7 linked regions of the Canis lupus familiaris genome follow. The protein of the gene in region 3 purifies or fractionates together with the protein of the main gene of each other region. This does not show direct contact. Links are inferred from orthologs where the notes say so. Each region holds a gene or a part of one and is shown on either strand. Other genes may lie near its edges. The genes, in order: OBSL1, NSUN4, KBTBD7, LLGL2, MTERF4, LLGL1 and MRM2.

Region 1 (3,614 bases), on a different chromosome or scaffold from region 3:
GGGGCTAAATCACTCAGTCTGGACCGAGGCTCTCGACGTAGGGCAGGGCACAGGGCAGCAGGACGGCGTCAGGTGCCGGAGGGATACTCCAGTGTAGCCAGCGGGGTTCTTCTGTGCCCCCCCCACGAGCTGCCTAGGCCCTGCAACATCCACCCCCCCCCCCGAAAGCCCACCTCATACACACACATGCACGCACGCACACACGCACACACATGCTGGGATTGGCACTGTATCGGCTGCAGCCTCCAAAGTTTCTAGCACTGAATGAAGCACCATCACTTCCACAGTCGTCCTATGCTTTTCCAGCTTTGAACACTCCCCAGGTCAGACCAAACCTGACCCCGCTTGGCTAACTCAGGCCCTGCCCCAAGTTTCCGGTTTGGAGGCACTTCCCGCCTGCCCAGAGGTCAGCAGCCCCGAGGCCCCGCAACACCGGACCATCCACAGTCTGAGACCCTCTAAAGAGCCTGGCTTTCCTGCTAGGCCGTGCGCTCCTGGAGGGGAGGGGGGCATGTCTGTCTGTCTGCCTGCCGCCGGGCGTCCAGGGCTGGCTCCTTCGGGGGGCATCCACTTTCCCCGAAGCCCTCCCTGACTCGCCTGTTCTCTCTCGAGCCCTCTGCTCTCATCCTTCACGGCACTTGTCACGAGGTGTCCGCTGTACATTTATTTGCGCGTTTATTGGTTTAACACAGGGGTCGCAAACTCAAACGCCCACGGGGGCCGGGTAGGTAAGGTCAGTGGCTGAAGCAGTCTGGGGAGAGGCAAAGAGGAACGGCGGCGGCGGGGGGGCGGGGGGAGGACAGAGGAATGTGGGCCCCATATTAGGGGGGCAGCTGCTACTCAGCACCAGCTGTTCGTCGCCATGGGGGGAAGCGGGACCAGAGCCGCCGGGTCTTCGGCTTTTTCAAGAGGACGCATAACTCCGGATTGTTATTTGAACTGTCCTGACTTTGGTAAGACTCTGCAGGCCAAACAAAACACATCTGTGGGCTGCATGGGGCCCTATGGACTGCCCGTTTGCGACCCCTGGTTAATAGCTGCCTCCCCAGCTAGGCTGGCGGCTCTCGGAGAGCAGAGACCACGCATGTCCGCGGCCCCCGGCCGTCACGCAGGAAGTGCCCGGTAAACGAGCCAGTTATTCCTGGGCCTGGTGCTGGGGAGGAGATGGCTCACTCGGACAGGGGCCCCGGGGTCTTCCGGGCAAGGAGCCTTGGCACATGCACCACAGCCCTACCTCCCTCCTCCCCAGTGTGCTAACTAGGGAGTGGGTGGCCAGCTCCCCCCAGGGGCTCAGGACCGTCTTTTGGTGCCCCCCGGGGCAGCTGGGGTGAACCCACACCTGTGACTGTGACGGTGAAGGAGGCCGACTCGTCATCGATTTCACACAAATACTCGCCGGAGTCCTCAAGCTGGACAGCGGGCAACACCAGGCGGCGGACGGTGTCCTCCTTCTGCAGCAGCAGCGCAGGACTTTCCACCACTTCTTCCCCGTCCTTGGTCCAGCGCACCTCGGCCCACGGCCGGCACAGCTCACAGGTGAGCACCACGCGCTCCAGGCGCACGGCGGCCACGTATACCTTGCCGCTGGGGTACACGATCCACGAGGAGACATCTAGAGGACGGGGACAGTCACGGCTGGGACTGATGGCCCCGGTGCCTCCCCTGATCCGTGCCTGCCCCCTCCTCCTGGCACGAGGGCCATGCATTGAGGAAGGGAGCCTGCTCTCACATTAGGTCTCACAGCCGCTCCCAACTGGAGAGACAGCTATGGTCACCGACACGCATCACAGGTGCAGTGGCGGGGTGGGGACCACGGGGTCAGCCTCTGCTATAGAAACACGCCCCGTTCTCGGGGTCAGGACGGGGACTGATGAGTGGGACCCGGGAGAGGACAGCTGAGTGCCCAAATGGAGCCTGGGTTTCCTGTAGGCTTTCGAGGCCTTCTCACCCTTCTAGCACGGGATGCCCCGCTCCGCATTAGGGTTGCCCTTTGCAGGAGCATGGAGAGAGCGGAGCTTCCCTGGGGATCCTGTAGCCCTGGCCAGGGTTAAGGACAAGGCATTTTCTGTGGGTGACTGAACCTTAGGGTGCAGACCAAGAAGGAGACACGAGATCAGCTGGGGGGAAGGAAGCAGGGCCAGGGGACGGTGGCCCGGGGCTGAGAGTGTGACAGTGGGCCCGGGCGGTGTCACATGGGCCCGCCTGGCCCCCCACCTGTGATGGTGACCGTGAAGTAGGCGCGCTCGTCTCCAGCGACACACTGAAATTCGCCCCCATCCGGGGGCTGGGCGGCAGGCAGCACCAGGCGGTGGTGGGGCCCTTCCTTCTCCAGCACCACGAAGTCACTCTCCTCCACCTCCTGCCCATCCTTGTACCAGCGCACGGGCGCATCCTCTCGGTCCACCTCACAGGTCAGCATGACACACTCCGAGGTTATGGCGTGCACGAACACGTGCTCCTGGGGGTCCAGGATATGCACCGGGGGGTCTGGTGGGGGGCAGAGACGTGGTCACATAGACACCCCCCCACACATACACACCAGACAGCTTCCTGCCCGGAGGACACTGGGAGGGTGAAGGCCATGCTGTGCGAGGCCTACTGAGTGTGTGGCAGGTGAGGCAACGCAGACTATGTGGCACCTGAGTGCTCCGTGAGTCCCCAGAGGGTCGGGGCAGCTAGGGGGGTACACTGGGGGAGGGGGGCACAGACTACCTTTGTCCCCGCTGAGAGGAGGTCACTATCATGGGCCACATCAGGGCCATGCTTGCTGCTGCTTTTGTAAGGGAGGCTCCGAGCCCTGGCCCCAGGACGGGCAGGAGGTGGCAACGACTCAGCAGTGCCACCGTGAGATGGCTGCCTCTACAGGTAGTAAGTTCCCCATCATGAGGGGCATGTAGGCAGCAGCTGCAGGACCGCCTGGCAATGCGGCTTAATTAGGATTTCCACTCAAAGTGAGAAGATGAGCTGCCCTCCCAGAATGGAACCCCAGGCTCTACCCTGGAGAGTCTGGCGCTGCAGGTCCGGCATATGCATTGAGAACAAGCTTCTGGGGTGGTTCTGAAGCAGCCAGAGCATGGCCTGGCTTGAGAACCACTGCACCACTGCACTTAAAGCTTCTCCTTGCCTCGGGCCACCCGAGGCAGTGGGATAAGCAGACCTGGGTGTGAGCCCAGCTATGGTGTTTGCTGGCTGTGATCATGAGTACATCACATAACCTCTCTGAGCCTCAGTTTCTTGCCCTGTGACCTGGAGATCTTCTCATCCAGTTGTGAAGGTCACACGAGATCGTATACACGTGAAACATTTAGTATACGTTGGGCTCGTGGTAAGTACCCAATCGACAACCAGCACCTGTCTCCCAACCCCCTACCCAGCCGAGGACACGTGGAAGGTGAGTGTGCTGGAGGGTGTTGGTGGTGGGAGGATTGAGAAGTACAGGATGATTTGAAAACAGGTCCCCTGGGCCACCAGGCTCTTCCCAGAAGGGACCCCAAGCAGGCGGACCATGGGGCAGGGTTGCGTGGCCCCCCGAGTCAGCCCCAGACCACCGCGGTTGCTGACCTCGGACGGTGACACTGAAGAAGGCCGAGACCCCTTCCGTCCTGCACTCAAAC
Region 2 (3,614 bases), on a different chromosome or scaffold from region 3:
ACACATTACCAGTAGAAACAAAACCAATGTAACCCCCCCAGAGAGTGATTTAGTACCCTCTGTCAAAATCTTACATCCATATAAACTGTTATCCAGCAAAGATACTTAAAAAGCATAAAAGTAAAAAGGACTGAACCTCAGGGTATATTATTAAATGAAAAAACTACAAAGTTCAAATAGTGAGAATAATACACCACCATTCCTTTATTCAAAAATACACACACACTGGAACACCTATGTGGGCTCAGTCAGTTGGGCATTGGACTCTTGATTTCAGCTCAGGTCATGATCTCAGGGTCATGAGATTGAGCCCTACATCAAGCTTGTACTGAGTGTGAATCAAGCTTGTACTGAGTGTGGAGCCTGCTTGAGACTCTATCCCTGCCCCATGCTCTGCTCACACACATGCATGTGTGCACACACTTTCTCTAAAACAAACAAAACCCAACAACACACATGCACATTTGTATTTGTATATCCACAAATAATACTTCTTAAAGGATACAGATGAAAACAAGCAATGATCATCTGTGGGGAGAGGAAAGATAGCTGAGAGACAGAAGTAAAAGGGAAGCACCTTCTGAATTTTACACCATGTGCTGTATTAATATTCAAAAATAAATTAGGTTATTCATACTTATTTTAATGAGGGCTTCTCACCAACCAAAGAAGTTGAGAAATAAAATAAGTCTAATAACTCCTTTCCCACTCAGGTTCAAACTCTTTCCTGCTAACTGTCTTTAATGAAGATAACACCAATGATTGTGCAGATGTGCAGACTCTGTTCTCCCAATCACCCACAGAGCATGGGCCAGGTCCAGAAATGACCGTACATCCTCAAACATGGAGGTCTGGATCCCATGAGAATTCTCAGGGCCTGGTGCTGGGATGGGAAGGCCAGATTTGGCTAGCCGGATGTCAGGAATCACTTACCCGGTCATAGGTGTCTCCCTCCAGTTCTCCCCACTTCCTGCCATCCCATGAGGTGACTCGAACCCGATTTCTATCCCTGATATCTTGAGGCACATAGCTGCGAAGGACCCTCTGTAGTCTGCCTGTTCGAGAAGTGGACAGATCATTGGCAGCGAGATTGCCTGTAGGAATAGAAATTTTTTTTTAAAGATTTTATTTATTTATTCATGATAGACATAGAGAGAGAGAGAGGCAGAGACACAGGCAGAGGGAGAAGCAGGCTCCATGCCAGGAGCCTGACGCGGGACTCGATCCTGGTACTCCAGGATCACGCCCTGGGCCAAAGGCAGGTGCCAAACCGCTGAGCCATTCAGGGATCCCCAGGAATAGAAATTTTAACATTGTGAGCAGCCCCGGTGGCTCAGCGGTTTAGCACCACCTTATGTAAGAGAGAAATAAACTTTTTTTTTTAAATATTTTAAATGTTTATTTATTTATGATAGTCACACAGAGAGAGAGAGAGAGAGAGAGAGGCAGAGACACAGGCAGAGGGAGAAGCAGACTCCATGCACCGGGAGCCCGACGTGGGATTCGATCCTGGGTCTCCAGATCGTGCCCTGGGCCAAAGGTAGGCGCCAAACCGCTGCGCCACCCAGGGATCCCTAAAATTTTCTTCTTTAAGCCAGTTCATTGATTTTCTATTGAATATTACCAAACCTAATCCATCTATCTTCTACTTTCCTTTTTGTGACAGACACAAATTCAAGAAATTGGTCACTTTGGGGCGCCTCGATGGCTCAGCTGGTTAAGCATCTACCTTCGACTCAGGTCGAGATCCTAGGGTCCTGGGATTGAGTTCCACGTCAGATTCCCTGCTCAGGAGGGAATCTGCTGTTCTCTCTCCCTCTGTCCTTCTCCCCCGGCTCATGTGCTCATGCTGTCTCTCAAATAAATCAATAAAATCTTTAAAAAAAAAAAAAAAAAAGCTTGCTTTGCTCTTGACTCTACCATAAGAAAAACCTTACTGCAAGTTTGATGATAAATGGTGACTGATACCTGGTCTCAGAGTCAAGAAGTGAAAGAGTGAAAGGGAGAGGCAGAACAATGGTGAAGAACTAGAGGGCACACCTTATCCCTTATCCGATGGGAGCAATCCACCATGCACCAGTTTAGTGTTTCTACACAGACCTAGAGTCCCAATTTTTGAGGGAACTCAAAGAAGTAAAAATTGGATTCTTTGCTCAGGAGGAATTTGTAAAAGGATGTGAATGGAGAACAGAAAAGCTGGGTTCTGGTTCTGGCTCTATCTCCAACTCAGGTAAAAGTTAAATTCTTAAATCTCTTCAGAGTCAATTTCCCCCTCCATAAAACACGAGGACTCTCTTGGTGAGGAGCTGGCATGGGGGCAAGGTGCTGGTAACTTAATACAACTTACAAGAGCAACTCTCGATTACTTCTCATTGGCCCTTCTTCTGCCTCTTAGAGTCCAGATCCTCCTCTTCTAGGTAACCCTACCTCACTTAACCTCTTTCTGATGGATTCCCATAGCACTGGGTCAGATCAGTCCAGCACAGAAGCTGGGCTCCTACACTGGACTCCTTAAACCATACTAACACTTTTTCTCCTCTGCCTCTGCACTACCAGAAGGGAAGACAAACATGGTACCATGCAATCACCCACAGGGCCTACCGTGAGGCTGGAAGCTAACTCAAACTGTGCAAGTAATTGGCTGATGAGACCTGGAAGACAAGGGGCCCAGCCCATCAAAAAGTCTAAGGCATAAGGCAAGAGAAGCCTGGCTGAGTTCCAAGGTGAGTGGAAAACCCATAGCCCCCCTCTGGATATTTCTCAGGTCCCTGTGGAACGAAAGGTGCCCATTTTAAGGCAGGATGTCAGCAAGTAGATAGCTGAAGTGAACATCATGGCGCACATGGCCCTGGCTGGTGGCTGCACTACTGAGATGAACAAGACTTGTGCCTGTCCCTAAGGAATTCATGCTTAGAGCAGGAGAAGATGCATACACCGTAAAGCTCTGACACAGGCTAATGTGCTAACAGTTGCAAGAGTGACGCCCGCGGCATGGGAGTGTAGGAGACTAAGGCATCACTTTGCAACCGGCTAGCAAAAGTCATAAGGGAAGACTTCCAGGAGGTGGCACCCTTGAGCTGAGGCTTGAAGGCTGAAGGCTTCAGACAGGCCAGCTGGGATAGATAAGGTGGCGGGTATTCTAGAGAGAAAATGGAACATGAGCAAAAAATGGAGGCTTATTCAAACAACAGAGAGTAGCAGAATGTGGCTGAAGCACACAAAGTCTGGGGAAGAATAACAAAGCTTTAAAGGGTGGCTGCAGCCAGATCTTATTGCTTTAGTTGGCAGACTAAGGAAATGAACTTAATCTTAGAGACAAAAGAAAACAGGGGTAGAGGAGTGAAAGTGTCATGTGTAGATTGATCAGGGCCCTGGTTTAATCTGCCTTCAGAGACCTTGCTCTGCTCAGCAATCTTTCTTGGCCAATTGACAGAGGAAGAGAGGAGAAAACTGCAAACAAAAATCCACCACCTTAGCAAGCAGGCACTATACCCCGCCTCTGACCTTAGGACCAGAGAGCCCATCCTACTTGGCAAGTCCCTGACTGGGTGAGGTAGGGGGCCCTCCCTGCCCAAGACACCAACCCTCTGACTTACGGCAACAGCCAGTCTGAA
Region 3 (4,148 bases):
AAAACCACACCAAATTTAACAAACGATAGAAACGATAGTAACTTATAATACTAGAAACTGGCTAGTTCAAAATTTGGGAAATCTACTACTTTCATTATTCTAAAAGAAAATACAACCTTCAAAACCCTACCAACAATTTCTAGTTCAATTTTCTACTATAAAAATTAAAAAGTTAAATTCCTTGTGGCACTAAGTTGAATTAAAACGTTAACAGAAGACAAACGTAGATAATCAAAATATAAACAGTGTAAACTAACCAAAACAATCCACTGGTGCAACAAATACTCGAACAACCAAGAAACCACCAAGCATTCTAATCAGTTACATAGTTTGTTTTTGCATATTTTAATCTTGACTTTTAGCATAATAAATTATCATATAGGTTGATTTCATGGACTGTTTAACTTTGTAACATTACATTAGTAATTCAAATGTTACCCTTTCTAAACCAAATCTGCAGTCCTAATCAACATTTTTTTTTTCATGAAAAGGAAGGGATATCTTTTAAAGATACATTCCATAGAAGTAGAAACATCTTAGTGCTTCAAAATATTTACAAAGAACCCTGATGATCCTGTGCATTTCCCTGAGGTGCCACCTGCACCCAGACTTCATCATCGGAAAAAGAACTTGAACTTCCTGACTCCGAGTCCAGCTCACTGAATCCATCTAAGTCCCATTCAGTACTAGACTCACTCCGTGCATCATCTTCCTCAGTGATAAAACTCTGTCCAGGTTCAAGGCAGGAAGGATAAACACGAGCACAGAGGCAAATAAAGCCAGAGTCAAACTGCAAAAGACCTAACATGGTACCTATATTAATCCACTGGTCTTCCCTAGTATCGTATTCATAAACAGTCACCCGGTTTTTTTTCCACTGAGGGGTGGTAGAAGTAATGAGGAGCAACTTTTGGCCATGATTGACAATCTGGTAGTTGTGGGTCTCTGAGTCCAAGGGGATATTACTAATCCGCCTCCATTCTCCCCTGGCTGGGTTGTAGACCTTCATGACCGGGATGTCGCAGATACAGTAGATCTCATCATTGAAGACACAGGCTTCCTGAAAGTCACTACGTTTAAGAGAAGCACAGTTCAGCCATGTATTGTGGCCCGGGTCATAGTAGAGCATGCGCTTACTGTTCACAGCATAAAGATAGTTCTGAACCACTATTAGTTCAAACGAATAGAAGGAATGGGGTACAGGAGCCACCAGTGCCCACTGGTTTCTCTGGACACTGTAGCACTCCACTTCCTTCAGTTTAACACCGGTAATGGGGTCTCGCCCACCCAAAATGTAGATGTAGCCATTGAGGTAGGCCACATCCATGCCCTCCCGGCACAGCAGGCGGTCGGCCAGCTGCTGCCAACTATTCTGGGCTGGCTTGTACACCCAGAGGTCCTTCCTGGGCTGCGCGGCCAGGTAGATGTCATGGTCTGGAGAGACGCAGACAGCTGAGGAAGTGACAGTCTTGGTGTGAGCCAAGCTGGTTAAAGGGGATGGCATGGTGTAAATGTCCCCTGAGTATGGGTCGTAGCACAGAAAGGGATCTCGGGGATGTCCAAAGAAGATCACCATCTCCTTGGCACACATACCCAGCCTCTGGGGTGGGTTTTCTGCTGTGGGCACAACACAGCTGCTGCTGCTATCTGGTTTGGGCACCAGAGCCTTGCACAGCTTGTCACCATAGCGCATCTGCAGGGCCCCCTCGATAAGGTCCAGACAGTACTTTTTCACAATGGGCTTGGTCAGCAGCCCCTCCAGGTAATCCTGATCCTCTTCTCTGAAGTGTGTCCAGCGGACACACTTGAAGACTTCCGCAGCGCTGGGTCCGCGCTCCTTGGGAGCCGCCTCCAGCCACTGCACGGCCACGTGACACACGGTCCGCTCGCTCTCGATGTCTAGACTATCCAGGCGCAGGATGGACAGCAGCTGGGCCAAGCTCAGATCCGCCAGGCTCTCCTCCCTTACTGAGCCCATCCGGCTGAGCTGCCTGAAATTGTGGGCTATGAAGGACTGGGCCTGGGATCGCAGCTTATGATGGTCGAAGGCGTCGGCGAACTTGAGGATGGCGGTGCAGTTGGCCAGGTCGAGGCGGCGGGCCAGGAAGGAGGCGCAGGCCTCCCGCACGTACTCGAGCTGCAGCATGTCGGAGGCCGCGTACAGGCGCTGCACGTTGGCCTCGCTCAGCGACACGCGGCCCGTGTAGCAGTAGTCGACCAGCACCTCGAAGGACTCGGCGTCCACGTCGTGCATGGTCACGTTCGCCTGGTGGCTCTCGTACATGCCGCCCGTGAACATGCTCTTGAAGTAGGGACACGCGGCCGCCAGCACGTTCCGGTTGCAGGGGAAGAGGCGGCCGGTGCCGGGCCCGCTGCCGGGCGTCACCACCTCGATGGTCACGTCGCACAGCAGCCGCGCGTCGTAGAAGGACTTGAGCTGCGCCAGGAGGGCTGCGGAGTGAGCCGCGTCCTTCAGCTCCTCCGGGCCCGTGAAGAAAGCCGAGACCGAGGGCTTGGAGATCCTCTTGGGCCGCCTGCCGCCGCGGGGACTGGCCAGGCGGCGGGGGCGCGGAGCCTCTTCCCGGGACTGCATGGTGGAGATGGCGGCGGGGTACGAGGGCGAGAACGGGTGCACGGACCGGGCGCGGGCTCCTCCTCGCCCTCTCCTCGCCTTCTCCCTGAAGAGACTGCAGGGGCCGCACTTACCCAACTCAGCCCCGCGCCGCGGTGCCGCCTCCCTTTATCGCGTAGCCAGCGCCTGACTCACCCGCTTCCAGTTCCGCGCCCTTTTCTCCGCCTCAGCTCGCCTTACAGAACCCGGCTGGACGGAACCGAGAGAGCCGCCACTGCCGCGCTGGCAATACCGGTAGGCGTCCAGCGGAACTACGGCTCCCAGGCTGCCTTTCGCGCCCCGAGGCATGCCGGGGCCCCTCCAGACTCCAGGGGATCGGCGGGCGGGCCGGAGCCGCTGTGCACGCTGGGAGTGGTAGTTCGAGGAATATCGCGAGGTTTCTCCGGGCGGGCGGACTTTTAGCTGACAGAATTCGAAAAAGCGTTAATCTGGGTTTGTTGGTTTTAGAGCTTTGGCTTTGATGTTCTTTTTTATTTAAAAAAAAAAAAAATCTCCGTTTTGGTATTGGTCTTCTCTCTGAGAACTTTCCCCTCTTTGTAAAGCGGGGGATACGAGTTTTCATAGGATTATGTGAGAGTGGGAGCGAGGTGGATTTGCGCAGGTCCCAGGATGCTTCAGCGAATACCTGCTGATTAATCACATGCTTGCAAGTGCCTGGAATATACAGATTCAGCCACTGGTGGCGTCTCCCAATGCGTTTTTAAAAATGTGCCCGCGTGCGAAGCCGTGAGCGATTTGTGTGAGGAATCTTAATTTTACTGTTGCTTCTTTTGAAGGGTTCTTCTGAAGGCTACCACCATCTTTTCAGAACTAAATGAGATCCACAGGTTCGTTAGGGTGTCGTGGACAAGGATGAGGTCCTGGCGAACAGCGTTGAGAGGTGGCCTCCGACGTGCGGCTCAGGCCTCCGACGTGCGGCTCAGGCCTCTGACATACAGCTCAGGCCTCTAACAGGCAGCTCAGGCACATGCATAGCTGGGCTGACCTCTCACCAAATCAATATTTACGCAGGGGGAGCAGGATTACTTTCATAAGCTTTTTTTTCTTTTTTTTTAAATTAAGATTTTTATTTACTTATTAGAGAGAGAATGCACAAGCAGGGGAGTGACAGGCAGAGGGGGAGGGAGATTACAGGCTCCCTGCTGATAGGGCCGGATCCCAGGACCCCGGGCAGGCGCCTAACCGGCTGAGCCACCCAGAAGCCCTTTCGTAACCTTTTAGCAGGAATGTTTTGGTCTAATACTGCTCGTTTCCCTTCCTCTCCACAAATCAGCCTAAGATTATGTAGTTATCTTTATCAAGGAGATAAAAACGGGAGTTGTAGATTAAAAGATTTAAACAAACAGACCTCAGAGCTCTGTATTCATGCATGCCCCAGTTTTTTTTTTTTTGTTTTTGTTTTTTTTTTTAAGATTTTATTTATTCATGAGACACACACACACAGAGAGAAGCAGGCTCCATGCAGGAAGCCCAATGTAGGACTCAATCCTGGGTCTCCAGGATCAGGCCCTGGGCC
Region 4 (3,614 bases), on a different chromosome or scaffold from region 3:
GAGAGCCCTGTGGCACCTGCCACACTCCTGGCATGGCCTACCTGGTTGCTGAGGAAATGGCAGAGTGCGCGGCTGCCCTGCAGGTCCCAGATAACGATGAGGCCCCGGCTGTAGCCGATGAGGATCTGGTTGGGGTCACGGGGGTGCTCCTGCAGAGCTTCCACCATCTCAAACACCCGCCGGTGGCGGGCCTCCTCGGGCAACCTGGCCAAAGGAAGCACTGTGAGGCCAGGCTGCCGCCGCTGCCAGGGCAGGACAGAGCACTGGGCATAGGCACGCCTGTGGGTGGGGATGTGCCAGGGTGGGGAGATCGCAGGGACACCGCCAAGGTGGGAGAGAAGCCGTGCGCAGAACAGCATAGTGATATATAGGAACCTAAGGATGCAAACACAGCTGGTGCCGCTACAAGGGAAGGCAAGGAAGTGACTTCCAGAAGTTGATGTGGTGGTTATCTCCGGGGAGGGAAAGGGTCGTGACTGGGGAGGGCACGTGGAGGCTCACTTTACAAGAATTCACTAAACTGTACATTTGTATTTAGTGCATTTCTGTATAGAGGTGATATTTCTTAATAAAAAAGTTTTTAAAACCCACTCAACAAAGCTCTCTATGTGAGTTGGCCTGGCCCTGAGCTTTGACCCCCTCCCCCTTCTCTGGGCCTGGAATGCTGATGTGAAGTCTGGAGGTGCTGCAGCCAACAGAGAATGAGGTGGCAGACGCAGGACCCACAGCCAGCGCCACAGGAGAGTAGGTTATGCAAATAGCCTGGACCTCAGGACACTTCTAGGCACCCAACCAAGTCAAACCTCTCTTTATTTAGAGAAAAGATTTACATAGGTAGGAGGGGGCTCCCAGGGCACTCAGGCTGGGGGAGGCCCCCCAACTGGACTTCCATCGGCAGAGTGAGGTGGCACTGGCATGGCCACATGTGAGGAGCAGGTCCTCCCACTGCCCTGCCCACAGACTGGGCGCCCAGGCTGAGAAGCGGCCGAGCCTGCTGACCTACAAACAGCAAACAGTCCTGCTCTGACCATGGCCGTGCTGCCCTGACTCTATCCTGCCGAGCGGGAAAGAGGGAGGCGGTTGTGCTCAGAGGGACCCAGCCCCAAGCAGGAATCCTCTCGACCCAGCTCTGGACAGTGGGCCTGACGGATGTGAGTGCATTGGAAGGTTGGTCCTTTCAGGAACAGTGTCCCACCGGCTCGAGAAGCAGCTCCCGTCCAAGGACCCTGGCCTCCTCTCTGTCCCGTGAAACCCTGGAATATCCCACCACAGCTGATTCTTCAGCTCCCCCTCCCTGGGACCCTAGTACCCTCTTCTCCACATCCTGACCTGACCTGACCTATTCTCTGTCACAGACTATCATGGGGCAAAGCCTCCAGAATGATCTGAAGAAGCCTAGAGGGTCGAGGCTGACCAGGAGTTTGGGCCATGGGGCATGCATGTAAATGAAAACTCAGCAGACTCCAAAGCATAAACCTCCCCAGAAGTTTGGGGAGAGGTTTGGGCCCCTTGTGCCCCACTGCAGAGCCTGGGGGCTGGGAAATTTGTGGTGACAGTGCAAAGGACAGTAGACTAAGAACTGATGACAGTGCAAAATCATTTTGAGTCTCATTTTTCTCACCTTTAAATGAAATGACAAGTTACCCCCAAAACCATTTGAGTGCTATGATGTTAAACACATCATGGGGTCAGAGTCTCTGCTTAGGGGACAGGTGGGGAGCTGAGAATCTCTCCTCCCTATAGATAGATATAGTCTATAGTCCCTATAGACTCCCCAGGAGAGAAATTAGAAGCTCCTGAGGTATTACTGGGACAGATGGGAGGAGGCCAGGCCCAGCTGGAGGGGGTGGCTCCCCGACCGCCAGGGGTCTGCAGGCTCACCACTGCAGCACGGCGTCCGAGCTGATGGTCTGGTCCTCCAGCGTGTGGAAGCCCGGCAGCTGCACCACGAAAACGTTGCCACTCTCAGTGCCCAGGTAGAGGAGCTCGTGGGAGGAATGTGGCAGGACCACGGTGATCTGTGTGGCGCTGGGGGCAGCCCTGAGGATGGGAGTGGCTGCCTGTGAGTTGGCTGCCACCGGGCAGGGAAGCCCCTGGGCTAGGGGCCCCTCGCCAGCCCCAGGAAAGGCCTCGTCCAGGGAAAGCAGACCCATGAGGTCCTTTAATGGGGTCCAATGGGGTAAATACAGGGATTACTTTCTGCCAAGACAGAAGCCAGATGGTGGAGGGCGAGGGCTTGGACGGGGCAGCAGAACCCCTGCCCCCTTCCAGAGCCTCCTATGTAGACGCTGTGTGGGGATGGAAGGAGGCAGGGCCACCAAGGGTTCCACAGGACCTTCCTGATCGACACCCGGAGCTGGGTGTGCATGTCAGGCCGGCTGGGAGACGACGGGCACCAAGTCCTTACCCTGGGGGGCCACGCAGTGTGTAACTCTCATCTTCCTGCAGCTCCGACACACCGCCTTTGACTGTCAGTCTCCACAGGTGCAGGCTATTGTCATCTAGCAGGGTGACCAGCTGGCACTAGGAGGGGAATGGCACCAAAAGCAGGCGGGTGCCATCTTATTCACTAGGGAGGGCCAGCATTCACTGTGGCCTCTCCCACTGGGGTGGCCCACCCCATGTTGTTTGATTTGGGGAGGCCCAGAAGCAAATCCCTGGCTACACTCGGGGTGGCCCATGAACCCAAAGCCGAGGGAAAGGGAGTCCCAGGCCCTCCTATCAGAACCAAACCCAGGGCCGCCAGATGCCCGCCTCACCGTATGTACACCCCTTCTGGGTGGCATGAGAGCAAGAGGGTGTGGAGGGGCCCCTCACCTGGCCAGGTAGGAAATGGATCTGCACCACAGCATTGTTCTCTCGGTGGAGTCCCATGAACTCCACCCCTGGCGCACCATAGCTACAGGCAGCAGGCTCAGGAAAAGCTGCAGAAGGCAGGACACCACCCCCTCCCTCTAAAGGGCCAGGACCTCTAGGCCCACGTGGCAAGAAATAGAAGTACCTCAGCGACAGGCTCACCCTCCTCCCAGATGGGGCCTGGGGTTGGGTGACGCAAGTCCTTTTCCTTGCGACAGCACTTGGCCAGGGGTGATGTGACCCTGATGGGGAGCCCACTCCAACCAGGGATAGCTTTTCCAGCCAGGCAGGTGGGGTGACACTCTAGGAGGGTGGAGCCTTATCCTGGCAACTGCGGACTGCTTGCTGCACCCTCACCATGACCCTAGCACCTAAGCTGCAACAGACCCATGAGCTACCACAAGGTGGCACCTGAGAAGAGATAAGGGCACCGCCCCCAGCAGCTATGGCCATGAGTCTTGGCAAGGAGGATTGGTAACCAGGATATGGCCGTGGCCTGGCAATGATTAACCAGCTGAGGGGGTGCTATATACCACCTCCAGTGTAGCCCAGCCTGCTGGAGGCACCCCCACCTCCCCTGCCTATGCTGCAGCAGAGGATTGGGAGGGAGTCACAGCTTCACCGGTGTGTGTGTGTGTGTATGTATGTGTGTGTGTGTGTGTGTGTGTGTGTGTGTTCCAGCTGGGCCCTCCATGGGTGATCTCCATTGGAACTGAGGGACCACCTTCCAATCCTCCCAGGAGCCACCCTGGCTCACT
Region 5 (4,217 bases), on a different chromosome or scaffold from region 3:
AGAGTCCGCCTCCCATGCAGGAGGGAAGAGGGCCCTCCCCACAGAGACCTGACAACACATCAACCTAATGCAGCTCCTATCCAGTCTCAGGAGATTTATAACAATGTTTTCATCAGAACGGCAGTTTTAGAAGGAAAAATAACCTGAGATGATCCAAGTGAAGCTCTCAGAAGCTTTAAAAATTTGTAATGTTCTTTGTTATCTGTGGGCTCTTCATTCCAGTCCTACTGCCACTCCTCCTCGTCCTCATCCTCCTCTTCTTCCTCCTCCTCATCCTCCTCTTCTTCCTCCTCCTCATCCTCCTCGTCTAGACTTAAGCTCTGCATGTCAGGCATCTGCCTCTCAGACTCCTCTTCCTCCTCCCGAGCAAAGAGCTTCTTAAAAACTTCAAACTCCTCAGCAGAAGAATGGGCTGTCCTGGCCAGAAACTCAGCTTCTGAGACTCTCAGAATGTCCTTGAGTAAAGGATTGGGGATCTGTGTCTGGCCCTTCTTATCAGGGGTCTGGTACCGCCCTAGGCGCTCGAGGAACACATGTCTCTGCTTGATCTTGGTTATGGAGTGCTGCAGGAAGTCGGTCCGCACCACGTCCGCATGTTTAACCCCCATCCTAAAGTAGGCATACTGAAGACACAGACACAGTTACCTACGGTCTGTCCTGCCACCGTCCACAATCAACTCAAGCACTCACAAAGAGCTGCCCAACTAGCAGTGCCAGGACACTCTACGATGCCCAGCACTGGTGTGACGGCTGAGTTTTCGAAGCATTTCCAAATTCATATTGAAAAAATTTAGTAGAAAATGAAGTGTTAAGTGGGATGAATTCAATTCTTTTTCCTCAGGAAAAAAAAACTGTGAGCATGGAAAGAATGGGCAAAATATCCAGAAACATCTAGCAATCTAACCCAACCTGTCAAAATTGTTAACCAAAAGACAAGACAACTGTCACAATTATGCTACTAAAATCAATACGCAAAATAGGTTCAAAAAAAAAGAGTCTTTAGTTCTTTTAAAACCACCTATTTCAAGGAGAGGCCCCATTTGGACCCCAGGAGAGGGACCAGGTCGTTCATTATTAATGGCAGAAACGCTGTAGGAGAGGTTTTCCGTAAGGAAGTGAAAGACCAGAGCTGGATTCCCTCTGGAGGGTGTGTGCAGGGGCTCTAACCCTTCCACCTCGTCCACCGCCCTCGGGGTGCCTGAGGCTTCTCATCCACGGAGCTCACCCTCGCTACATTCAAACAATGCGTTTTTACTTCCCGAACCCCTACCAGTCACCAGTCATCCTCACCTGGAATTTGTATTCGAGGTCACCAGGGTCCTCCCGAAGAACATAGGGGCATCTGTGCAAAATCCTGGTCACCTGTTGTCCCGTGAAAAGGCATTTGTCCTTGAGAACCCCCACGATGTTCTCAATGTCCCTCTGGTGCATGGTGAAGACTTCAGGGCAACAGAGAAGCAGCGTCTTCAGTTTCCCTGCAAGACACAGGAAAGGGCAAGTACATGATTTCAGGGCACTCCGGAAAACCAAGGGGCTTGCCACGCCCACGCCAGCATTTAAAACTGAACAAGGAGGCTCTCCTCCACGAGCGACAGCTTCTGATGCTCCCAGCAGCCTCAGCAGTCGCTGAAGCACCCACCACCGGCATTCCTCAGATCTCTTATCCACACTCGCACAACACCGAGCAAAAGAGGCCCCTTGAACAAACGCATGAGGCAACTGGTAACTGAGGCCGCCCAGGCAAACTGGGCCCGTGGTCTTCCCAGGGATGTGGGCAAAATCCAGTACCCGGAAACCTCAAATCACTTATTTAAAAAAGTATTTACAATCTTTCTAACAGGTCAGCTACTCGCTGTCTCGCTGAAACGTGCCTAGGATGACTTCTAGGAGTTTAGAGTTTCCCTCTGAAGCAGAAGGCCTCGCTGAGCTTTCTAATTCATAATCACAGTATATAAAGTATTGGGCTCACTCAGCCTTTTAGATTATGCCGCAACAGGTGATCTGCCAGGGGGGACACAGAAGGCGCTCTCTTCCTTATCTTCTGGTGAAGGGGCCAACGGAGATCCTCTGAGACCGGTTCCCAAACAACAGTATCTTCCCCCAACAATATCTTCCCGGTAGGAGTCAGTAAAAAGAAGAAGAAAAAGAACCCCACTGGGGCGCCTGCGTGACTGTCGGTTAAGTGTCTGCCTTCGGCTCAGGCTGTCATCCCGGGGTCCTGGGATGGAAGCCCCGCGCCACTCCCTGCTCAGGGGGGAGCCTGCTTCTCCCTCTGCCTGCCCCCTCCCCTACCACTTGTTTTCTCTCGCTCTCAAATAAATAAAATCTTTTTAAAAAAATGAAGGAAAAAAAAAAAAAAAAAAAAAAAGCCCAGTGACCCTCCTGTGTTACAGTGTGTAGGGATCCCCGAGGCCCTGACGGGCTCCTAGCCCCGCTGCCCCGAAGGCCGCAGGCTCCCCGAGGTGTGAATCCCGGTGGGGGAAGCCAGGCTCTCTGATCCCCGAGTCCGGCCATCTGGGGATCCGCAGTACGCGGAGGCGGTCACCGGGCCCGCACCTGCACCCCCATCGGGCCTCCGCTTCCGTCCTGCAGCCCGAGCTACCGCAGGCGCCGCCCGGCCCACCCGCCGCCCACCCGCCGCCCACCCGCCGCCCGGCGCCTCCCCGGCCTCCTGTACCTTCTCCGAGGCCGAGCCTCCGCAGGTAGCCGGAGCGCCTCTGCGCGTGCGCCGCGGGCAGGTCCAGCAGGCGCGGGCTGCTCCTCAGCGCCAGGCACACGTGCTCGGGGCTCACGCCCAGGAGGATCAGCTCCGAAACGACGTCCAGCACCCGCCGAGGCCGCGCGCCCCGCCACACGCTGAGCAGCCCCCGGACGTGCGCGTCGCTGAAGCCCATGGCCAGGAGGGCGCCCGCGACCTCCCCCCGCGCGCCCGGGCCCCGAGCCCCGCGGCCCCCTCCGCGGGACGCTGCGGCCCTTCTCTGCCCTCCGCGGGGCTGCGCGGCCAGGCCGGCCCAGGTGCGGGCCCAGGTGCGGGGCCAGGTGCGGGCCCAGGTGCGGGCCCCGCCGAGGACCTGGGAGAGACCGAGACAGGGGTCGGCTCCCGCCCCGCGCTGTAGAGGGCACCGGGCGGCCGTGCGCAGCTCCGCGGGGCGGGGGTCAGGGGTCAGGGCGGGGGGCGGGGAGGCCGCGGGGCGGGGGGTCAGGGGTCAGGGAGGGCGGGGGCGGGAGACGCGCGGACCGCGGCGCAGGGAGGGAAAACCACGGCGTGTCGCGTCCGCGTGGCCGCGCCTCAAGGGTCGGGGTCTACGCGGCGGGGGCGGGGGGCGCTCGTCGGGAGGTGGGCTCGCGTCCGCAGCCGCCCGGCCTGTCCGTCCCTTCCGGGCCCGAAGCCACATCCTGGCGCCGCGGCCCGCGGAGCGGCTTCACCGACCGGCGTCCCCGAGCCGCGGCCTCCCGCCGCCCCGCACCTCCCGACCCCGCCCGCGGGACTGCCCGCGCCCCCTCACCTGCCCGCCGAGCGCCGCCATGGCTGGGGCCTGACGAGCGCTTCCGCCCCGCCGGCCCGCACTTCCGCCCTCCCGTGGCCCGCACTTCCGCCCCCCCCCCCCCAGGGAAGCGCGAGTGCGCGGGAGGTGCGTTCCGCCGCGGGCGTTCCCGGGTGCGGGGGGCGCGGCCGGCCCCGCCCCGCCCCCCCGCCCCCCCGGTCCGCGGGCGCCCGCCGCGCGCCCAGGTGAACAGCAGGGGGTGGGCGCCGAGCTGCGGCCCCGGGCGGCTTCCGCGGGTCTACGCAGCAGGAGCCGTGGGCCCGCGAGCAGCGGGGAGGTCTGGGGGCGGGGAGAGGAGGCCCGGTGCCCCCCCCCCCCCCCGGCGGCGCCGGCTCCAAGCAGAGAAAGGAGGCCTCGCAGGTGCTCGCGGGGCCCCGGACTCCGCTTCCCACGGAGGAGCCCTCGGGGCGTCGAGGACCCGGGGCGGGGGGCGGGGCCTGGGAGGGGAGGGCGGGGCCTGGGAGATGGGGGCGGGGCCGGGAGTGGGGGCGGGGCCTGGGAGGGGGCGGGGCCTGGGAGGGAGGGCGGGGCCTGGGGGACCTGCGGACGCCCCGGCGGGGAGGGGGAGGGGGTGGAGGGCCCCAGCGGCCCGGGAGGCTCCCCTCCCCTCCCCCTCCCCCCCCTCCCCGCCCGCCCCCCGCCCCCCGCCCCGCGCGGCGCAGGAGCTCAGTC
Region 6 (4,050 bases), on a different chromosome or scaffold from region 3:
TCCCCAGATGCCGGACTGGAGCACCCCCTACCCCACCCCCATCCTCGACACCAATGTGGGACATGACACATGGGTCCAGCTGTCTCCTGACCAGTGCCTCAGGAAGACATACATTTCAAAAGAAAACTGTGGTCCGCAGGCCTGTTGGCCCAGCCTCCCTCCTGCCTCAACTAATCCAGGAAGGGACTGAGCTCTCTCTGCAGCCTGCTTGGTTGGATTCAGGCTAGTCAAAACATTCTCGACACCTCAGTGTCCCATGTGCTCACTAGGGGCAGTGAGCCCACCTGAGGACAGAGTAGCCCATTTGGCTGGGGGTGCAGGGGGAGAGCTTCCCATGCTCATACCAGAGCTGACCAGGTCTAGCCAGTCCCTTCCTCTGCTCAGGACCCTCTTGGGGCTCCTACCTCACCACCTGGCCCCTGTCTGCCCTCCTCCTCCCTCCCTCCCCTAGCTTGACTGCTGGGCCAATGCCCTTCTGCTCTCCTCCAATTTACTAGGCAGGCTCCTGCCTCAGGACCTTTGCATCTACTGTCCATCTACCTGGACACCCAGCAGTGCCCAAAGAGGGCTCCTCTCCATTACTCAGCTCTCAGCTCAGGAGTCAACTCCTCAAAGCCCTCCCTAAACCACCCTGCTCTAGCAGCCTCCCTGTTCCCATACTCCTTACCCTCACCCCACTTTACTGTAACCACAGCACTGGTCATCATCCAAACTGCTGCACATTTTACTCTTTTGCTGTGGCTTTTTACTATATCCCCCATGAGTATATCAGCACCCCGAAGAGGCATTTGTCTCTCTTGGTCACTGTGGTGTCCCCAATACCTAGAAGGGGGCCCCTCACACAGTAGGAGCTCAAGATTGTTAAACTGACATAGAGTAGACATCCCACAGGCAAGCTATGGGCAGGACAGAGATTCGGATGCAAGACAGTCCAAGGTCCATGCTTGCTTCTGACCCTTCCCACCACTCGGGAATCTGGGATCTATTTGTTCTCTAGTGATCACCTATCTCCTCGTGTGAGCAAGCCCCTACCCCAAGCCTCACCCTTCCCACCAATGCCACCTACTCAGAATAGGGCCTCACTGGCCTTAGCAGGGAACCCTTGGCTTCTGCTGACCCAAGGCCAGTCAGGAGGAGCCCAGCCTCGCCACCATCTATCTCCACTATCTCCACTTCACACCCCGACTCACTGGCTGATGAAGTGACACCTACCCCCAGCATCCTTCTCCTCTCACCTCACAGGGGCTCTTGCTCACAGCCACCCAGCATATGAAAGAGACCAGCGGGGAGACCCCGGGCACCAGCCACCCTTCTGGGCCTCCCAGGCCCCTGCAAGTTCTCAGCCACCATGTCGAAGGCCCCAGCAGCCGCCATCACCAGGAAACCCTGCCTGCCCCAAAGGACATTTCCACCTTGACCACTTCAGATCCAGCCATCCTAGAGCTTTCTCTTAAACAAGAGTCTCCTGGAGTCTGGCTCAGGACTACAGCAGCCCTTCCAAAAACCCCTGCACCTCAAAGCTAAAGTCAAACCTCATCGACAAGGGTCCACGAGGACAGAGTGCCCCGACTCACTCTCTGACTCTGGGCAAGTCGTCATCCCTCTCTGAATCTCCATTTTCTCACCTATATGATGGGGATAGTAACTCTAATCCCCAAGAGCAGTGAGGGGCTGTGCAATCAGAGGTCTGGAGTAAAACTGAGCCCGGAAGCAACACCCCAGAAGTTAGCAAGGGAAAGGCTGGGGCCCGGATCAACCACGCATGGGTGCAAAGGTGGAGGGGAGGAGGGAGTGGAAGGTAGCCTCAGTACTGTGGCCCCTCTTGCCCTACCCAGGAAAAGAAAGGAAGGAGCAACCATCTCTCCACGTTGGCCCAAAGGATAGGTCAGCAGGCCCATGTGATACAGGGAGCCAGAGCAGGGAAAAAGGTGGCCCCGTTTTATAGCAAGGAAAACTGAGGCCCCAGGAGTGTATTCATCTACACAGCCAGGCATCTTCTCTGGAGCCCCCAGCAAAACAGGGCAGGGCAGAGCCCCCAAGGCAGAGCCCCGGGCCTTGGGGGAGGGGACGAAAGAAACAGGGAAAGGATTTCCCAGCCCCACCCCCCAACATCTGCCTCCGTTCCTCACCCCTCCCCACTGGCCTGGGTGCGAAAGCAAAACAAACTGGGGCCCTGGGCTGCCCCAAGGGCTGAGCGGGGGCTCCGAGGGCCCCCAAAGGAAGAGAGATAAAGAGACGGAGACCGAGAGCCAGAGTGAGAGTTCCAGAGACCTTACGGAGACACATGGAGGCGAAGAGACACGCAAAGACTCAGAGATGAAGAGACAGAGAGACGAAGAAAGAGAAGGGATACGCAGAGACACACAGGGACAGAGGCAGACACCCCCTCCCCAGACACAGGCATAGGATAGGCTAGGACAGGAGGTGATCACAGACCGAGGCGGGGCAGAGACCCAGGACATGTAAAGAGTCGCACAGGGACAGAGAGAGACACCGACCCAGGGACACGGAGACCCGCAGAGCCAGGGCCAGCGAGGCCCACAGGGACCCGGGGGAGCGGACTCGGAAAGTCAGCAGGGGACCCAGACCCACCCAGGGTCCGGGAGTGGAGCCGAGGAGGAGGCGAGAAGTGGGGCCCGCCGACGGGCGCGCGACCCGGCCCCCGCGCCGCGCCTCGGCCGGGCGCCCCCTCCCCCCGGGCCCGACGTGGCTCCGGCCCCCGCGCCCCCGGCTCGGGCCCCCGGCTCGGGCCCCCGGCCCGCCCCCTCCCTCTGCCCGAACCGCCGCGCCGCACCTTGTTGAAGGCGAAGAGCTCCTGCTTGAGCTTCTCGCGCTGCGGGTCAGCGCCCTGCCGCCGGAACCGAAACTTCATCATCTTGCGTCCGGCTGCCGGCGCCGCGCCCGCCGCCGCCGCCGCCGCCGCCCGCAGGATGCGCCGCGCGGCCCCGCGGGTCCTGAGGCGCGGGCGGGGCGCCAGGCGGCCCGGACGCGGGCGCGCGGGGCGGGGCCTGCACGGGGGCGGACGCAGAGCGCGACTGACGTACAACCCGACCAATGGGTGTGCCCCGGTGCCGCTCGCCCCGCCCCTGTCGGCCAGACAATGGGGGAAGACTGGGCCCCCGGGCTCGGCCGGGCTCGCGAAGGTGCTCCCGCCGAGCATGCGCCGCGGCGCGGGTCCTGCCGGGATTGTAGTCCGCGAGCCAGGCTTCCTGCGTGGGCGGCTGGGGACAAGCTTTGGAGGGGGCTGACGGGTGTTCCCGAACTTGGAGGAGGCCTTTCCTTCCCCCAGGGAGGAGCGGCGTGCTTATTCAGGTAATGAGGAGGACCTGCCCCGAGAGCCGGGAGAGTTCTGACAGATCCAACTTCTCGGCCCCCCAGCCTCAGTTTCCCCACCTACATTACGGCCCAGTGATTGCCAAGGTATACAGTTCCACGGGGCAGCGCTTTGTTCGCAAGTGTGCCGGAACACCTCCCACCACCGCGCTTTTGCTCCACTGGTGGTCAGTCAGGAATGCCCTCCCCAGTCCCTCGCCCCTGGGAATCTCCTACACATCCTTCAGGGTCCATCGTAAAAGGCTACGCGTAGCAGCGCGGGATTCACGGGCCATCCAGCTAGAGAGGGGCAGGTAAGAGGCCCTGCCTCCGGAGGTGGCGTTTGGGGCGAACCGAGATTGGATCTGGGCTCTTCCAGGGTGGGGGAAGGGCCTCCCCTGCACGCAACACTATATAAACAAAGCTGCACCCCGCCTCCACTCTCCAAGGGACTATCGGCCTGTCCCCACCCACCTCGAAGGCCGCCTTTTCTCTTCTGGACCGTGGCCTCAAGGCCGAACCTTTCCTTCCAAGGCTGAGGATAGGCTGCCCCCGCTCAGGGCTGGGCAGGAGGGAACTCCCAGGAGCTTAGGTGGGGCCTATGGGCCAGCACCAGCCGCCCCCCGCCCCGCCCCCCAGCTGTGTCCAGGGAGGCAGGCCCGACTTCTGATCCTAAGGTAGCTACCAAGCAACGTGGGGCCTGGCTGTCCCCCACCGCCGGCCGCCCACGCCCTCAGC
Region 7 (4,058 bases), on a different chromosome or scaffold from region 3:
ATCACTCATTAAGTCTGTAGACAGGCTCAGTGATAGGAAAAGGAGCTGAAGTCTCTGACACAAATTCCTTCACTTAGGCAGTATTTGTTGAGCTAAAAACATTTTTTCCGCCTGTTCTAGATAGAGCTCCTGGAGGTATTCCACCCATAATAATAAGGCTGATTCTTTGTCATGAACCCAGGGAGCAGCAGTCCCCAGTCTGCGCTTTCAGCAGGTCAGCAAGCTCCTTTGAACCTCATTTTTCACTAGGACTACTGCCACAGCATCCTCCCTCTAGGTGTCAGAGAGAGGTCCTCGTGAATCGGCATATTTCATATAGTGCCAGGGACTGTGGTACCCTCAGATTTTACGGCATCAGAGAAGGGGGAGAGATGCTCATCACAGCATGGCGGACCCTAGCAATAGACCTGAGAGCAACACTGGTGCCCATGAGAAGGAGACCAGCTGTACAGCACAGGACAGCTGCCATCTGGAGTTCTGCACAAGCATTTAAAAGGACAATATAGGTATCTAAATTGAGGGTACTGGTTACCCTGTTGATTAATTGGGGGAACCATCTTCATATAGAAAACCTTTGACAAGATCCTAAAATATAAGATGGCAAAAGCAGAGTCCCTCAGATTGAACAAGAGGGGAGAAGCCAGAGCCCCAGCACGGGTGCTCCGGGAAGCAGACCTAGTGGGGCCTTGGGAAGACCAGAGCTTCAAGGACCAGGAGCCAGAAACCTCGGATTGGTACAGATCTGCTGTCATGGACAGATGTCAATATATTAGTAAGTGAAAAAGAAAACACAGCTCTATGAAGGCTCCAAAGCAGCAGGAAGAACATAGATGTAGAATACTATCTTTAAAAAAAAAAAAAACAAAAAAAAAAAACACATATATACTTATGCAAGAATTCTCGAAGGGCACATGGCGACACATTGACGTACATATGGACATGGTACAATCTGAGGTACTCTAAATCTATGCCTTTCTACTGTGGCTGTCATTTTGAAAACATCAATGTCCTACTTTCAGCCTTCCTACCACTAAACAAGCAACTCAGAAGGAGGTGTCCTCACCAAGTGAATCTCCTGGTAGAGGGCAGCTGGCTTGCACCTCCAGACCCAAGGTGGTCAGAGGTCCTACCTGTGCCTGCAGCATTAACCCTCTGCACAGCCACCTGGCTCCACGCCCCAGGGGCCGCCCCGCAGTCTAACACTCGGAGACCGGGCCGCAGGATCCGGTGCCTCTCATCCATCTCCAGGAGTTTGAAGGCACTTCGGCACCGATAACTCTCCACTTTCGCTGCCTTCACATATGGGTCCTTCAAATGCCGCGTCAGCCACAGGTGTTCAGCACCGGTCCGACCCTTGTAGTAACTCCCAGCTGTGTGAAACCTCTGACACTGCAGGGACACATGAAGCAGCTTCAAAGACCTGAGGGAGCAAACAGGAGCATACAGGCGGGCATCACACACATAAGTAGGCTCCCTGGTCCAGCCCATGTATTTTCAGAGACAGCGCCCAGAGACTGGAGCGGGGAGGAGACTTGGCAAGGCTACCCAGACAGAAAGCAGGTGGAATGGGGTGAACCGAGTCCCTCCCCAAACTCGTGTGCTAATGTCCTAACCCCAGGTATCTCAAAATAGGACTGGTAATATTAGGTAATTCAGGGGCTCAGTTGGTAAAGCATCTGCCTTTAGCTCGGGGCATGATCTCAGGGTCTTGGGATCGAGCCCCCTGTCAAGCTCCCCGTTCAGCAGGGAGTCTGTTCCTCCCCCTTCTCGTGCTGGCTCAAGGTCTCACTCAAATGAATAAAAAAATTTTTTTTTAAATAAAATAAGATAGAGAAGTAATTCATTTAAAATGACGCTATATGGGTGGGCCCAAATCTAGTATGACTGGTATCTTCCTAAGAGAAAGTTAGGACACAGGGACACAGGACCAACCACAGGAGGGGTGGGGAGGGGAAGACACAGGGAGAAGCCAGCCATCTACAGGCCAAGGAGAGGGGCCTCAGGAGACACCAGTCCTGTCCACACGTTGGCCTGGGGCTGCAGCCCCCTGCTGTGTGAGGGCAGTGAGACAGAAGTTTGTGTTGTCTCAGCCGCCTGGCCTGGGGGCTTTCTCCTGGGGACTTTCAAGCACAGCAGGCATTGCTTCCACTCAGCTTATGAAAGTTTCCTTCAGAAGTAAGACTCAAACATCACTGATGGTCACTTTGCTTGTGTCAACCAAGGTCTTTCCAGTACCGGTTAATAGTACCATTGATATTCACAAAGGTAATATTCCTGCTCACCCACTAACTTCTCCTTGGGCTCTAGGGAACCGCGAGAGAACCCCCCCAGGGACAGACCCTTGCTGTACTTAGCTCCATGGCTGCACAGGCCAACACAGGGCCTTACCAGTCACATTGCCTCATACAACTGAACTCAACCTGTGTGAGCAGGTGAAGGACAATTTCCAAGTATCTTTGGCAAAGTTAGGTTTTTAACAACTTATCCAGTACCAGAAACCCACACCCCGTATATCCCCTAACTAACTCTCAGCACAACCCTACAAATAAGTTCTGTATCCATGTTTCTGATGGAAAGAACCTACCATTATCTCCACGGCTCCAAGCAAAAGCCCCTTCAACAACCAAAGCATGTTGGCAAGATCTGGGCAGGGTAATTGCAGTCACTGCCTTCAAAAAGCTGAAGGGAGGGATCCCTGGGTGGCGCAGCGGTTTGGCGCCTGCCTTTGGCCCAGGGCGCGATCCTGGAGACCCGGGATCGAATCCCACATCGGGCTCCCTACATGGAGCCTGCTTCTCCCTCTGCCTGTGTCTCTGCCTCTCTCTCTCTGTGTCTCTCGTGAATAAATAAATAAAATCTTAAAAAAAAAAAAAAAAAAAAAAAAAAAAGCTGAAGGGACCTCCTGGGAGGAGCACAGAACAATCCTGGGCACGAGAACCAACTCCCGAGGTTGGGGGAAGGCTGGAAAGCAGAGTCACACACACTGGAGACCTGCAAATTTGCACAGCTGACCTCCAGGACCCTCCCACAGCTGGGGTCCAGCCACATTGGCCAATTGTGCAAGCCCTGATGCCACAGCCTTCAGGCCTGCAGTGCCCTTTGCAAGCTTCACCTCCACCTGCAGCACCCCTTCATCTGCCCCCTCACCTGCAGTGCCCCCTCCACCTGCAGCACCTCTTCGCCTGCCCCCTCTGCTCTCCATACCTCCTCACCTGCAGGCCCCCTCACCTGCAGGCTCCCTCACCTGTCTGCTCCACTCTCCGCAGCCCTCCACCTCCAGGCCCCCTCACCTGTCTCCTCCACTCTCTGCACCCCCTCACCTACAGGCCCCCTCACCTGTCTCCTCCACTCTCTGCACCACCCCACCTGCAGGCCCCCTCACCTGTCCCCTCCGCTCACCACAGCCCCTCACCTGCAGGCCCCCTCACCTGTCCCCTCCGCTCTCCGCAGCCCCCCACCTGCAGGCCCCCTCACCTGCCCTCTCCGCTCTCCGCAGCCCCTCACCTGCAGACCCCCTCACCTGTCTCCTCCGCTCTCCGCAGCCCCCCACCTGCAGGCCCCCTCACCTGCCCCCTCCGCCCGCCCGCGCTCCTCGGAAGCGGCCCCGACTACCGGCTTCGTGTAGGAAGTCTTCCCCTAGGCACTGCGCCCGGGAAGCCCGCGTCCGCGCCCCTGTCACGCGGAGGGAAGCTGGGACGCCCCGGGCCGTCCTCCCCCCGCACGCTTGCAGGAGGCGCCCGGTAAGGCCGCACCAGCGCTCCCGCGCGTCCGCCTCTGGGCCCGCAGCCCCACTCACAGAGCCATGCAGGCCGACTCCCTCCGCTCGCTGCGCCGGAAGTGCCGGCCTCGCTTCCGGCCGAGGCCACGCCCCCGGAAGCGGCGCCCCAGATCCGAAAGCGCGCGCGGAGCCGAGTGGTGCGGAGCTGGGACGCGGGAGTCGGGCGCTGAGCCCCAGCCGGGTGAGGACGGGCCTGGGGACCTAGGGACCTGGGAGGGGGAGGGGGAAAGGGAGTTCCAAGGACAGGGGGACGGGGGGGAGGGGGAAAGGGAGTTCCAAG

Evidence for each region.
Region 1: the proteins of KBTBD7 (region 3) and OBSL1 purify together in Homo sapiens (affinity purification with mass spectrometry; 3 studies listed by BioGRID and IntAct, with this or other methods). This does not show direct contact. The link is inferred for Canis lupus familiaris from reciprocal best matches to the Homo sapiens genes KBTBD7 and OBSL1.
Region 2: the proteins of KBTBD7 (region 3) and NSUN4 purify together in Homo sapiens (co-immunoprecipitation; 5 studies listed by BioGRID and IntAct, counting the BioPlex papers as one, with this or other methods). This does not show direct contact. The link is inferred for Canis lupus familiaris from reciprocal best matches to the Homo sapiens genes KBTBD7 and NSUN4.
Region 4: the proteins of KBTBD7 (region 3) and LLGL2 purify together in Homo sapiens (co-immunoprecipitation; 4 studies listed by BioGRID and IntAct, counting the BioPlex papers as one, with this or other methods). This does not show direct contact. The link is inferred for Canis lupus familiaris from reciprocal best matches to the Homo sapiens genes KBTBD7 and LLGL2.
Region 5: the proteins of KBTBD7 (region 3) and MTERF4 purify together in Homo sapiens (co-immunoprecipitation; 3 studies listed by BioGRID and IntAct, counting the BioPlex papers as one, with this or other methods). This does not show direct contact. The link is inferred for Canis lupus familiaris from reciprocal best matches to the Homo sapiens genes KBTBD7 and MTERF4.
Region 6: the proteins of KBTBD7 (region 3) and LLGL1 purify together in Homo sapiens (co-immunoprecipitation; 4 studies listed by BioGRID and IntAct, counting the BioPlex papers as one, with this or other methods). This does not show direct contact. The link is inferred for Canis lupus familiaris from reciprocal best matches to the Homo sapiens genes KBTBD7 and LLGL1.
Region 7: the proteins of KBTBD7 (region 3) and MRM2 purify together in Homo sapiens (co-immunoprecipitation; 3 studies listed by BioGRID and IntAct, counting the BioPlex papers as one, with this or other methods). This does not show direct contact. The link is inferred for Canis lupus familiaris from reciprocal best matches to the Homo sapiens genes KBTBD7 and MRM2.

The regions. Positions count from the first base shown.
Region 1 is NC_049258.1:25,945,121-25,948,734, forward strand, and holds part of OBSL1 (obscurin-like protein 1), read right to left. Parts: coding exon 3,562-3,614; intron 2,488-3,561; coding exon 2,215-2,487; intron 1,613-2,214; coding exon 1,340-1,612; intron 962-1,339; coding exon of another isoform or gene 837-961; exon of another isoform or gene 642-836; intron 1-641. UniProt on the Homo sapiens protein: Core component of the 3M complex, a complex required to regulate microtubule dynamics and genome integrity. It is unclear how the 3M complex regulates microtubules, it could act by controlling the level of a microtubule stabilizer.
Region 2 is NC_049236.1:14,148,745-14,152,358, forward strand, and holds part of NSUN4 (5-methylcytosine rRNA methyltransferase NSUN4), read right to left. Parts: coding exon 3,597-3,614; intron 2,724-3,596; exon of another isoform or gene 2,223-2,723; intron 1,095-2,222; coding exon 934-1,094; intron 1-933. UniProt on the Homo sapiens protein: Mitochondrial RNA cytosine C(5)-methyltransferase that methylates cytosine to 5-methylcytosine (m5C) in various RNAs, such as rRNAs, mRNAs and some long non-coding RNAs (lncRNAs).
Region 3 is NC_049243.1:9,372,726-9,376,873, reverse strand, and holds the start of KBTBD7 (kelch repeat and BTB domain-containing protein 7), read right to left. Parts: upstream 2,877-4,148; 5' UTR 2,594-2,876; coding exon 554-2,593; 3' UTR 1-553. UniProt on the Homo sapiens protein: As part of the CUL3(KBTBD6/7) E3 ubiquitin ligase complex functions as a substrate adapter for the RAC1 guanine exchange factor (GEF) TIAM1, mediating its 'Lys-48' ubiquitination and proteasomal degradation.
Region 4 is NC_049230.1:5,864,951-5,868,564, forward strand, and holds part of LLGL2 (LLGL scribble cell polarity complex component 2), read right to left. Parts: intron 2,900-3,614; coding exon 2,818-2,899; intron 2,524-2,817; coding exon 2,408-2,523; intron 2,041-2,407; coding exon 1,882-2,040; intron 205-1,881; coding exon 42-204; intron 1-41. UniProt on the Homo sapiens protein: Part of a complex with GPSM2/LGN, PRKCI/aPKC and PARD6B/Par-6, which may ensure the correct organization and orientation of bipolar spindles for normal cell division.
Region 5 is NC_049246.1:51,199,506-51,203,722, forward strand, and holds the start of MTERF4 (transcription termination factor 4, mitochondrial), read right to left. Parts: upstream 2,898-4,217; 5' UTR 2,895-2,897; coding exon 2,678-2,894; intron 2,247-2,677; exon of another isoform or gene 1,970-2,246; intron 1,476-1,969; coding exon 1,291-1,475; intron 624-1,290; coding exon 225-623; 3' UTR 1-224. UniProt on the Homo sapiens protein: Regulator of mitochondrial ribosome biogenesis and translation. Binds to mitochondrial ribosomal RNAs 16S, 12S and 7S and targets NSUN4 RNA methyltransferase to the mitochondrial large ribosomal subunit (39S).
Region 6 is NC_049226.1:41,543,568-41,547,617, forward strand, and holds the start of LLGL1 (lethal(2) giant larvae protein homolog 1), read right to left. Parts: upstream 2,876-4,050; coding exon 2,795-2,875; intron 1-2,794. UniProt on the Homo sapiens protein: Cortical cytoskeleton protein found in a complex involved in maintaining cell polarity and epithelial integrity. Involved in the regulation of mitotic spindle orientation, proliferation, differentiation and tissue organization of neuroepithelial cells.
Region 7 is NC_049227.1:15,025,571-15,029,628, reverse strand, and holds the start of MRM2 (rRNA methyltransferase 2, mitochondrial), read right to left. Parts: upstream 2,810-4,058; 5' UTR 2,633-2,809; coding exon 2,585-2,632; intron 1,421-2,584; coding exon of another isoform or gene 1,390-1,420; coding exon 1,131-1,389; intron 1-1,130. UniProt on the Homo sapiens protein: S-adenosyl-L-methionine-dependent 2'-O-ribose methyltransferase that catalyzes the formation of 2'-O-methyluridine at position 1369 (Um1369) in the 16S mitochondrial large subunit ribosomal RNA (mtLSU rRNA), a universally conserved modification in the peptidyl transferase domain of the mtLSU rRNA.